2 linked regions of the Xenopus tropicalis genome follow. The protein of the gene in region 2 purifies or fractionates together with the protein of the main gene of each other region. This does not show direct contact. Links are inferred from orthologs where the notes say so. Each region holds a gene or a part of one and is shown on either strand. Other genes may lie near its edges.

The links.
Region 1: the proteins of tmem43 (region 2) and endod1 purify together in Homo sapiens (affinity purification with mass spectrometry; 3 studies listed by BioGRID and IntAct, with this or other methods). This does not show direct contact. The link is inferred for Xenopus tropicalis from reciprocal best matches to the Homo sapiens genes TMEM43 and ENDOD1.

What each region holds. Positions count from the first base shown.
Region 1 is NC_030678.2:164,554,339-164,560,488, reverse strand, and holds part of endod1 (endonuclease domain-containing 1 protein), read right to left. Parts: intron 2,578-6,150; coding exon 1,522-2,577; 3' UTR 1-1,521. UniProt on the Homo sapiens protein: May act as a DNase and a RNase. Plays a role in the modulation of innate immune signaling through the cGAS-STING pathway by interacting with RNF26.
Region 2 is NC_030680.2:132,938,533-132,944,682, forward strand, and holds part of tmem43 (transmembrane protein 43), read right to left. Parts: intron 5,675-6,150; coding exon 5,625-5,674; intron 5,378-5,624; coding exon 5,308-5,377; intron 4,644-5,307; coding exon 4,573-4,643; intron 4,183-4,572; coding exon 4,061-4,182; intron 3,974-4,060; coding exon 3,899-3,973; intron 3,294-3,898; coding exon 3,192-3,293; intron 2,044-3,191; coding exon 1,926-2,043; intron 759-1,925; coding exon 556-758; 3' UTR 1-555. UniProt on the Homo sapiens protein: May have an important role in maintaining nuclear envelope structure by organizing protein complexes at the inner nuclear membrane. Required for retaining emerin at the inner nuclear membrane.

The DNA.
Region 1 (6,150 bases), on a different chromosome or scaffold from region 2:
TGAAGAAGTCCATAAGGCGACAAGCAGTGATCCAAACCAAGACTATATCGGTTCCGCGGCTCCATGCTGTATTCTCTGTACATGGAAGATGGACACTTACTGGGAATGGAACGTCCTACTACAGTTTTAGAGCTCAACTAAAGTGACCTACGACTTATGAAGGAAAACGGGACGAAGGTATTAAAAAGTTAGGAAGCGGCCCAGCTATCCCGAGACATGGTATAGGGGACATGGGGGGAGCACTTGGGTAACGACATAGAAAATATTTCCCACAAATACTTGGGAGTAAGGGAGGAATGGTAGAAGCAATGGCTCCCTGGCCCCTGGGATTGGTAGAACCCTACGGACATGGTTACACAACTATGACCCGAAAAACCTTAGAGGAACTCACATGGCACAAGGAGAACTAAACCTTAAGGGGCCCAGTTACTAGCAGTCAACATTTTTCACACTTTTTGGTTTTCTCGAAATTGAATACCCCCCTCCCAGTGTAATGGGATCACCCCACTGCCCTTTATTAAAATGTTCCCTTTTCCTATTTTTCCCTTTAGTGTCTATGAATGTGATACTGGCTCATCCTGCACTTTCAGGCTTCCCTAAGCTGCTATTGTCTCCGCAGGCTGGCCGGCCAGACACCCCCCTTTTATTATAATGCCCTAACATAATAATCATAATGCCACATGGGCCAGCATAGGTATCCTATGTAATAATGATAATTTGTAGGAATATTCAAGGGCATCAGGGTTTTATGTTTGTATTTTAAATTCAATATATTATAACTCAATCAGGTAGAGGGAGTCCCAAACCTTTAAAATACAATAGACTCTATGGGGTCTTTGCTCCCCTATATAGAAAAGGGTCACACCCAGAGCCGGTGTCTATATCTAATTTGCCCTCCCTGTGTCATTGGCTCTGTGGATTAGACTGCCCTATGGCACACACCATCTTTATCCTGGATTAAAGGCTGTGACTTTGTAAATGAAGTCCAATCCCTCGCATCAACAAGGTACCTACAAAGTCATTAATTTCCTATATTTAGACTTGAATACTCTCTAGCCTGAATCCGTACAACTGCGAGCTCTAATGGGAGTACAATTCAATATTTCTGTTATTCAGCTGCTGATGGGGAAGGTCTAGAGACATCAAATTCTTCTGTACTGGGTCGTTTTGTATCGGACATTTACTGAAGAGTTAATGAGAGGAAAGAAAATACCCGCTTTGCCCTTCAACATGACCCCACCAGTGATTTTGCCAAAGTGCCTAAGTATACCCCAACCTAAGAGTCCCCAAATCACCATAACCCAGATAAGAGCCAAAGCAGCTGCCCCTTCCTGGACAATTTACTCAAAGCCAGCGTCCCATCTAAAGAGGTTCTCGTGGATACAAAACGTAGATCTACATGACAGAAACAAAAGGTAAATCGGTATGGATCCCACGGGAAATACAAATGACTTTCAGTAAAGTGCCAGCACAAAATAATCAGTCAACATTATTGGCCAAATTCTGATGCTCTATCACCGATCAGCCTTCGTATCCCTCAGACTGTCCTACAAACCTCTGGAAAATGCTGCTGCCTGCAAATGATGCAACCGAGAATGATCCACCAAAAGCCCCAAACACGGCAGTGAAGCCTAATGCAAAGACCCCCAAGATGCCACCTAAGATGTCTAAACCAACACTGGGAATGGCACAGAGGGTATAGTATGGGAAGCTGGCCATGTCACTGAGGAACCTCATCGGTATCCTTAGTACAAGACACACCACGGAACAGATATTGTCAAGGATCCGCGCCAAGCCACAGACAACATTGGCAAACACCCGGAGAACATCACATGGAATGTTCAGGAGAACTTTGCACAATGCAAAAATATAGGTGGTTACTGCGGTCCAGATCCAGTACACTCTTCCAAACACCAGGTTACAGATCTGCTTGACAAGGAACCACACCAGACACAACAGACTTTTCACTAATTCATACACAATGCACACAAGGAACTGAATAAATCTAAAAAAGGGTCCAGAGGCTTTAGCTTGGGGCTCGGAATCAGTCAGGGCTTCTGAGACCTCTTTCTGCTCGGGATGGCCAGCTCCTCCTCCACATTGGCTGGAGAACAAATTTGCTCCTCCAAGAAGTTTCTTCTCCAGTTCAGCCACGCTCACATCCTCTAGACTATCTACATCCTCAGTTCTCTTGATGATTCCAATAGACCAGGCCTCGGGGGCGCTACAGCACGCTGCCAGCCACACGGCCCCTGGAACGGACACTTTGTCGTTTATTTTCACGTCAGAAGGTACAGCTCCAACAATGAGATGCAGGCCCTCTCCGTTGCCACAGTGAGGAAGCAAGCGGTCTTTAACGAGTTGGTCAACTTCCGAGGCCCACTTATCCAGGAAGCTCTTTGTTAAAGGGACGTTATTAGTAAGGGTGTTTGGGGCTTTATGATACAGTGGTCCAGGTTGGTAATCTGAAGAACCATAGTCTCCTTCCAAGGCCTGGTTTGTACCAAGATTTTCAATGGGGTCGGAAATGTCAGCGCTGCTGGTCCCTTCCTCCAGACTGCTCCCTGCATCGTCCAGCTGAAAGATTCAGAAAAAGAATGTTGGTAACTGGGCCAGGACTGGAAATATTCCACAGAGGTGTAAACATACAGATTATATACAAAAATACAACCAATGCGAGAGGTAAAAAACATCTTTCAGATAGATTTTGCTAAGCACAGGGGAATACCTATTCATGTATTGTTGGCATCTCACAATCTCACATCCCCGAGGGTGCTTGTGGCCTGTATATTGTGAGGGTATTATATATGTATATATTTGCAGCATGCAAAAAAACAGGCCAAAACATTACATTTTGCCTCACAGTTTTGACCTAGAATGCAGCCCAAAAAGTTGTACCCTGAGAATATGGGCATCCCCTGGAATGCCCCTAGCTTCATGCACATACATCTGGAAAAGCCAAGAGGCAGCAAGGCACAGGAGAAACATGTATTTACGTCAGCCTATGGTACGATGAGAGTTTTCCACCCTGATTTACAAAAGCGTGTTCAAGAAGGAAGACGTGCAGCCCCAGGCCCCCTGCCCAAAATATTATTCCAAGGCATCTGATAGGTTTTAAATATGGAGCACTGTGCTCTGCAGATGCTGCTTTCTTTCTCCTTGAAAGCAGGAAGTCCTTTGATGTTCTCTGCACTGCTGGACCTGACCACTGAAACAATGTAGTAGTATTCAACCAGGTCTAGACTGGGATATAAAATAAGCCCTAGCATTTTAAGTGCAGAGAGGCCCAAACAGCCCACCTCCAGCCCAGACACCATTTCAAACAATGCCTTGCATGTTCTTTACAAGCCTGTTAAACATGCAATGCATTTTGGGAATCGGGGTCTTGGCTGGAGCAGAACTGGCTGCTGACAAGTACTGGGGCCCTAGGTTCTATTCTATCCAGGCCACTATCTGCAAGGAGCTTGAAGTAAGATGAACATAATAGGGACTTTAGATTAGAAGCTCCACTGGGGCAGGGACTGATGGGAATGATGTATAATCTCTGTAAAGCAGAATATGTTGGCACTGTATAAATGAAGCTAATAAAATACATGTGGGTCGGGGGCATAGGGCAGGTGGCAGAATGTTCACTAAAGAATTTCAAGAATCACTTGCCCAGTCTGGAGACCAAAGACTAGCATTAGGGCTCATATTGAGAAAGCCGCATTGCACATTACACGGGGTGCTGGGCCATAAGGCGGGCAGGTGTCACCCCTATCAGATTTACTTGTGCAATGCTCTGGTTTCTATTTCCAATCCCTTTACTAAATAGCAAATAAAATATCAGTACTGCAAAAGTGCATTGCCAACAATGGGTGTGACATTACATTCCTTCTATTATTTCATTCCAGTAGTTCCACAGGGATCTGTGAAATGTTTTGGAAAAAAACCAAAATAGATGCCATGTTATGGGGGCTTGATGTTGTGATGTTCCATATATACGCTCCATATAAGTATGGCTGCTCATTACACTGTGTCTGACCTTGCACGAGTCGATCTAATGAAAGGGAAACCAGACCGACATGAGTCAATAAAGAACCTGGAGTCTGGGAGGCTGCTGGAACTATCAAGCTAACGGAAAGTGGCAGGGGGGCTATTATGGCCTGATACTGTGCTGAATACATAGAGCACTGAAGGGCAGGAGATGGGTAGAGATTACCCCAGGAACCCTCAGTGGCAAGGTGGCGGCTTTGCAACAGAATGGGGACATTGTCCTGAAGCCGGGACCAGCAGCCATAAAAGGCCACCAAAATGGCAAATGCCCCAGCAGAGATATGTATAGTGCAGCCAGATACCTATGCTGGTACTGCTTTATGGCATGTCCCCATCAGGCTTTAGGGGCCCCAAGTTGTGGCTACTGGACTGAGAGGCTATTGTTTAGGCAAGGCTAACATTGTGCAGAACCTTTATTGAACCTCAGTTTTTAGTTTGGATAAACCTGTTATATTAAGGGCTACACAGTAGGATCATGGGACAGTGTATTAAACAGTCCCCCGAAGTGCCAGACAGTAGGGCAATTAGTTGGCAATTGGATAAACCCTCTGACTCAATCTTTAACAGTTTATACTGTAAGCCAATGAGAATTTTGGATTTATAAATATATATATATATAAATAGGTTTGGAAGGTATCAAAGGGGGGAGTATATCCCCTTTGAAAAGACAGGGAAACAAACACCTTTTCAATGTTATTGGTAAATGTAATTGCTGTTTGAAGTGATGTTTGTTTATCCAATTCTTTTCTCTATTCTCTGACTCTTGAAACAATGTCAGATCTGTTCCAGGTCTTTCCCTGGCAGACAGATACTGCTTTCATGGGCAATGACATTTACCAACTAACAAAACACTGAATATTTTTAATGTCTACTGAAAAGAATGACATTTTCTTTTATAAAAAAAAAAACACCGTTTTTGTGCAGGGGGACTCCTTAATGCAGAGATTTCCTGCATTTCCTATGACCAGGCTGCAGATTGCTCAGTATTCTCACAGACGTCAAGCAGTCAGAACACATAAAGGCTGGAGGCGGTAGAAGTGCCGATGTCGGCTTTCTTCCCTGGGCCAATATACAGCTATCAGCACTCACAGGCCTTTCGCTCTCCTTGCACTTCCCTTTGTGCCCAAAATACTGATTTCTGATAATAAACCATAAAAAAGGCAAGTAGCTACTCAGCAGTGTCACTGGTTAGGCTAGTGGCATGTAGGAATTTGGTGCCCGGTAAAAAGCATTGGCAGTCAAAATTCCCTGTGTGCCACAGGCACAGAATCCATTGACTGGCCAAATGGACAGATAGCATACTATGCCCCATACACACAGAGAGTTCTGGGTCCGCTTCACTTCCAGTTGACCAGTGGAAATTTCCATCCTGGTTGGCCGTACATAACTAGACAGTCAGGCAGTATGGTGGATGTTGGTCAAACTGCCAGACCAAATATGGGCAAGACTGCTGTGGGCCATGATGGGTATGGCACTGTTTATAGCTGTCATAATATTTACTTTGTAATGTATATTACAGTCCATGGGGGGGGCTACTCCATGTTTTTTTTTGGCTACTAGGGCCATAAAGTGACTGGAAACACATTACCCTCAATGGTTGGTTGGGGGCTGCACTTAAGTACATGAAATATAAGCAGATAAGAAACAACCAAGGACCCCAGCACTACAAGGCAACCTGTCAACACCACTCCCAGCATCCTTTGCTAGATCTCTGCGATGCAGAAGTGGCCCCCCAACCGCTTTAGTGGAGCCTCTTGCTGCCATTAGATCAGCTTTGCCTCCATCATTAATAATGCATGCCCACAGATGGCCGCTCTGCAGCCCTAGTCTCGTTGTGATGACAAGATATTTAATACAATGATAGGAAGTGATCTGCATTATAAATTGCTGCCTGTGACAGAATCGCTTAACCCTTGATTTGCTCCAAAATCTTACACCTCATGTCTCATTCGGTTGGGTACAAAATAGCTGAGCAGAATCCTGGCACTGCTGGTATCCTAATACTCCCAGCTTGTTTCCTATCAACCAAACTGTCATCTCTATTTACCCATAACTGCCAATCAATATATTATATATTTAAAAAAATAATATATGAAATACTAATTCCAGATTTGC
Region 2 (6,150 bases):
ACGGATTCTCTAATAAAATGCAGGCCTGTGTGGCTTAAGACTAAGGGTCAGGAATGTCAGCCATAAAACCCCAACAGGAGTTATGTGGCACTGTACCTTTGCCCAGCTCTTTTCTACCTAAGAGAAAAATTTTTTGCCCAGTACCCAGATTCCAGGGAGCATGTTGGCAAAGTGTAACACTACTTGTTTTGTGTTACTCAGACACCAGTTACTTCCAGACAGAACCTGGGGCAAATTTCAGTTCAGAAGGATATTTAACTTAATGCCCAATTACCAATTTCATAAAATGTACACAATGATTAATGGAGATGCTGCCAGGTACAATAGGCTTCAGTGTGTGGCTTCTGTAATGTAACTTTACACCATTATTGCATTGCATTAAAGGAGAATAGGAAGAGCTTATTCCAGTTAGCAACCCATACCCATGTCTAATGCACTAAAATAGCACCAATGTAGGATATTTACTGTCCCATTGGGTTGTCCTTTTTCAATCAGTGGTGCTGATAAAGTCAAAGATAATATTAGAAATTCCCTTTGGGTGAGTGCAACATAAACTTATTGATACTTTTTGGGAGGTACGCGGGACCTTGCAAGTACAATGATGCCAATAGCAGCAGCGCTCAGCAACAACGCCAGCAGCGGACGATAGAAAATCCAGCCAGCTGCGATGGTCAGCAGGGAGAGGGACGAGGATACGCACAAGGCACAGATCTTCAGGCCGAGACTTACCAGGTCCCGCACCAGAGGAAACCAGTCAACTGTAGGGAGGTTACAGCAGGTTAGTACACAACCCATCACAAAAACAAACACAGGTGCCTTAAAAACATGTAGCTACACAAACTATCAGCAATTTCCCATTACATCACCTGCTCATGGCCTTGGTAAATACACTCAATGGCCATTTGCTTTAAGCTGACCATGCCTGCCCAACCTTCAGAATGTGCCACAAGTCTATGGCTGGTTAGCACTGATCCAACCACTCATTTCTTAGTGTTCTACATTATATCAGTATGAAAAGCCCCCGTTCACCCAGACACGCTGATGACCCCCACATGTGGTAATGGGTTAAGTGCAAGTTGTCTTTTTTTTTTTCTTGCAGCCAAAAGACTATGGCATAACCAATTTGGTGCCCATTAAATATACCATATATCTGCTTATACTGTATGAATTTGATCATCCTGGTCAAAGGGGTCACCATGTGGCACATTTACTAATCCACGAACGTCCGAAAAGCGACCGAATGCATTTTTTTCGTAATGATCGCTAATTTGCGAACTTTTTCGAGCTCTCAATACGAAAGTTGCGACAATTCGCGAAAGTCGTAATGGCTATGAAAAAGTCGCAACAATTCACGAAAGTCATAATGGTAATGAAAAAGTCGTGACAATTCACGAAATTTGTAATGGCTATGAAAAAGTCGCGACAATTCGCGCAAGTCGTAACGGTTACGAAAAAGTCGTAACAGCGACGAAAAAAATCGCAAAAAAATACGAAAAAGTCGCAAAATGTTCTTTTTCCAATCCGAATTTTTCTCATTCGGATTCGTGGATTAGTAAATCAGCCCCTAAGTGTGGCTGTCTTAAGGCATTCAGCTTTTACAATGGCCAAGAGATAATTCTCACAAAAACTAGCCACCAATGATCCAGACCTAGACCACTGCCCTACAAGTTTATAAATGAAATATTGTTGTGGTACTTTCATTGGATTGAGGAATCTACCTGAGTGCCCAGTACAGGCTAAAGGCTAATATACCCAGCTTCTATAGGTTAGATTTGTATTCGCCCGTTAGGATCTTACCTTACAATAAGTTACCCAAGATGTGATTAAAATATTTCTGTTCTAGATATAGGGAACTTCCTGTGCATGAAGCCACTCTGCTAGGTTCTGGCCTACATGTGCATCATATTTACTTGAAATCAGCTTACCCAGTGTGTAGAATATTTTGGTCATCAGGCTTATGCCAACAAACATCATCAGCCAGCCAGCGCCACGCAGGGCCCAGGTCTTTAGATTATTACTCTTGTGTTCTGCCTCAAACATTTCCTAAAAGACATAAGATGTTTGGGTTATGTTGCCCTTTAGGTCTGCCTCCCTTCAATAGGTTTTATCTAGTCATGAGATGACAGGTTCGATCACAGTATTACTGCAGGATGCAATGACCAGAAGAAAAGTAGTAGTAATGTGTGTTTTCATTATCTCAGTTATAATTATTATTATCCTTTATTTATATAGCACAAGCATATTGTGCAGCCCGTTACAGAGATTATACATCACTCATGTCAGTCCTGCCCCAGTGGAGCTTACAATCTATAGCCCCTTATCACACTATGGTCAGTTTTGTTCAGGAATCAATTAACCTGTCTGTGTGTTTTTGAGGTGCATGGGAGAAATGGGGAAACCCAGACAGACACGGGGAAAACATACACTAGTGCAGAAAATGGAATATATTAAAGCCAGACATAACAATAATCACTACAGAAAATGGCTAAATAGCATATTAACTAAAGTCATGCCTGTATAAATGTCACAGACAAAGGCACAGACATAGGGTACCACCTAAACAAACAATTCATATAACAGGATGAGGCATTTATTGCAGAATGGCAACTACACATCCATATGTTTCCACCAGCAATTGAATAGTAGCCAGCCTGCTCTAATCTGTCTTGTTCCTAGTATGTGCCAGGAATGGGACAGTTGGTGTTGCTGTTCAGCTGCGTTGGCTTACAGCTGGGCAGTCTCTTGGTTTCCTGGTGGCGGGACTTCTATGCCAAGACTAGCTAAAATGGATATTTGGCGCTGGACTTTGTAGGACAGTAAGATCAACCCCTGTCGTAAATTTGGAACAAGGTTTGATACCATCAGCCAATCACAAAGGCAGGCTGCAAAGAACCAATCAGGCCTCAGTCCAGGAAAAAACTGCAGGGACCATTCAGACTCTCAGCTACATTAGGGCTAATCACAGCTGGTACTGATGGGCCTATAGGAGACCACCTAGTGAGCATGCCCAGTTTAGACTACTGCATGGATGAGTAAGCTGTGCAGCCATTCTCCACATATGAAGTAAATCTGTGTGCCATGTTTATACTGGGGTTTAATAAGAAGTACAGCTTGTGGGTTCCATGTCATGTTTTCTAGTTTCACCAATCATTGTTCTGTTGTCATTATGAGCAAGAGAAGAGGCTACTCACCTGAGCGCTGTAGGTCCCCATGTGTAACAGCTCCAGCACATCCCCAGATTTAGTTTTATAGGCACCCAGCTCCCCTCCTCTCTGCCGAGCAATCACACTGACCTGAAGCCCAAACAGAGAGATAACTGAGAATACAACCCAATGCAATTGGAAGGATCCATTAGATCTGTTAATAGGAGCAGCACAGATGCCCAAAAGCATATGGCACACATGTTACTCTCACAACGAACGGCAGAAATGATGCCAATCGCACTTAGAAAATTATTGCAGGATTCATGTCAAAGTGAGAACACCATTGCATTCGTTTTAACCCATCAGCCACAACTGTGCCAGAAAGTTGGAAACATTTTCAGCAACTTTTTAAACTGATATTTGTATAGATTGAGAAAAACTTTTAGAATTTGCTATAAGATATAATGTTTACCCCACCCAATGTATGGGAACACTTTCATGTGGAGAAATGTAAAAAAAAAAAAAAAAAACACTTGCAGAAAACTTCTCTCCCAGAGGCAGAGTTAGATAAGGAAAACCACTGGCCTCTCAGTGCAGGTTAAAACTGAAAGGAAAGAGCCAAAGCCCAGTCCCATTAATGATGTTACTGTATAAGAGTGAGACAGTTGTTCATGGCTTACAACACATTTGCCCAGCCTTAGCTGAAGCATATTATGTTCGTTTGTTTAATATTAGCCTGTAACTTAAATAGTTACCATATCTGGCTGCCCAAACTGGGCACCACCCAGGGCCACGCCAGCGTACCAGAAAGAAATGCGCAGGTCCCCCACCTGAGTGTAAAAGAAAAAGACTATAGTTTATTCCAGACTCACTCAAATGTACCAGAATAGATTACTAATCCAAGGAACACAACATACCTCCGGACTTTTGGGGTTGGCGCTGTGGTAGAAATAACCCCCATCTGCAATCACATCAGCATGTGGGTTCCCCAACTGAGACAGGCTCATCTGCTTGAAATTATCGATTTTATCAACAAGACCTGAAAAATGTAAGAGGGGAGTGGACATAAATAGGTTGCTAGAGGATTGCTGTGCAGGACTCTATGCATTTCTAGGTATACATTTACTAAGAGACATTTTTTACTTGAATATTGGATAAATCTATGATTGTTTGGTGCACCAAATTAATGATTCATGTGTGAAACTGCCTACTACTTTATTATTATGTTTTTTATTTGGGATCTAGGGCAGTATTTACACATGTATCAGGTGGCTTATTCCCAAGTTCTAGTTATAATTGATTGTTGTAACGCTGTGCACTGTGCTCCAGTACAAAGCAATAAATATGACAGAAAATACTTATAGCCACGTTGCTGGCATTCTAGCACTGAAATATACCCAATCTCCCCATACCAGAAGCAGCGTCTTACCTTTTGACAAGTAGTAACTTCCAACTTGTACATCTGAAGATACAGCAGTAAAAGATTCCACAGCCATGGCACTGAAAGAGACCAACTGTCAGTTTTCCAGCAGTTAGGGCTATACAGAGTATAATGTTGAGAGGTTATGTGACTTTTTAAAGGTTCAGTTGTTATAAAGGTCACAGAACTCCTCAGTGACTTAGTATATCCATACAAATGACAGTAGGGGGTACATTATCCCTCATAACCTACAAATGAAATTTTATGACAACACATTTATTGTTCCACCACTTTTTTAACATACAAATCACTGTTTGCCCCACTGTTTCTCCACATCTCACTGTAGGCATTCCGTAAGCTTGTTAGCCACTGGGGTAAGAATATACAGAACAAAATGTGCAGATTCCCAACGGAGGTCACTTGTCACCCTCAATCAAAAGAAAAGAACCAGAAGGATTTTAATTTGTCTATGGTGCCAGGAAATTTATATATTTGGTAAAACTAAATCCAAACCCTCAAGCACTTCTATCTTTTCGTTGATGACACCTTGTCTCTACTGTAACTTATTTAATGAGTATAATTAAGGAAAGGGAGTACCCTTATCTCCAAAGAATACAAGTCTCCTACAATACAGTAGGCTATTAGATCAGCATGTAGCAAGAACAGACAATGAAATATAGATAACAAGTGGATTTGACTTTTCCAATGATATTTCTGTGGTTTTGTAAACTGTGTGCCACTCACCTGGGATTCTGATGCGCAATCTCTCGATCAAAATGCCTGCTGCTCACAATTTCCGATCGCCATTCAGTATCTAGGAAGTACAGTTACTTAAATGTCATTTTACAAAAAGTAGAACAAGGGTAGGCAATTAAATCATTATGTATTCTTTCTAGGCTTTTCAGCATTAAAGAGTATAGTTTGCCACTAACTTAAGTGTAATGGCAACAGATTAAATAAGGAACAAGCTTTTTAAATCCCATGAAAATAGTCAATGGCATTAGCCACTTTTACTGGGAGAAGGATTTGTTATTTCTATTCTAGTTTTGAAAGCTACTCACTGTAGGTGTATCTTGTCTCTGTTTTCTGTTCTCCATTTTCTTCATACTGTCTGCAAATATGAGTTTTACAAAGTTGAATACAACTTAATGTAATATGAATGATGTTAATAAAAAATATATGATAATATAGTAATGAGCACATTTTGTCACCCGGCATGGATTCACAGCGAAATTCTGCATTTAGCCATTTTTTTTAGCCAATTTTTTAGGCAATTTTTTTTCACAAAACTCCACCAAAAATTTGCTGTGGCAAAAAGTTCACAGAGAAAAAATGCCAATTGACTTTGTATTTGGAATCAGAAAAAAGTTGAGCGCATGAAAAGGTGCGGGAAGAAGTGAGAAAAAACACAGACTTTAATGCATTTGGAGTTAGAAAAAAACTGTGCACATGAGAAAAAAAATTGTCACACGTAAAAAATGTGTTACCAATTCACTTCAATGCATTTGGCAAATTTCTTGCTGTTTTGCAAAATTTTCAGCGAAACACAGATTCGTTCATCACTAATATATATAATAACGAATAATA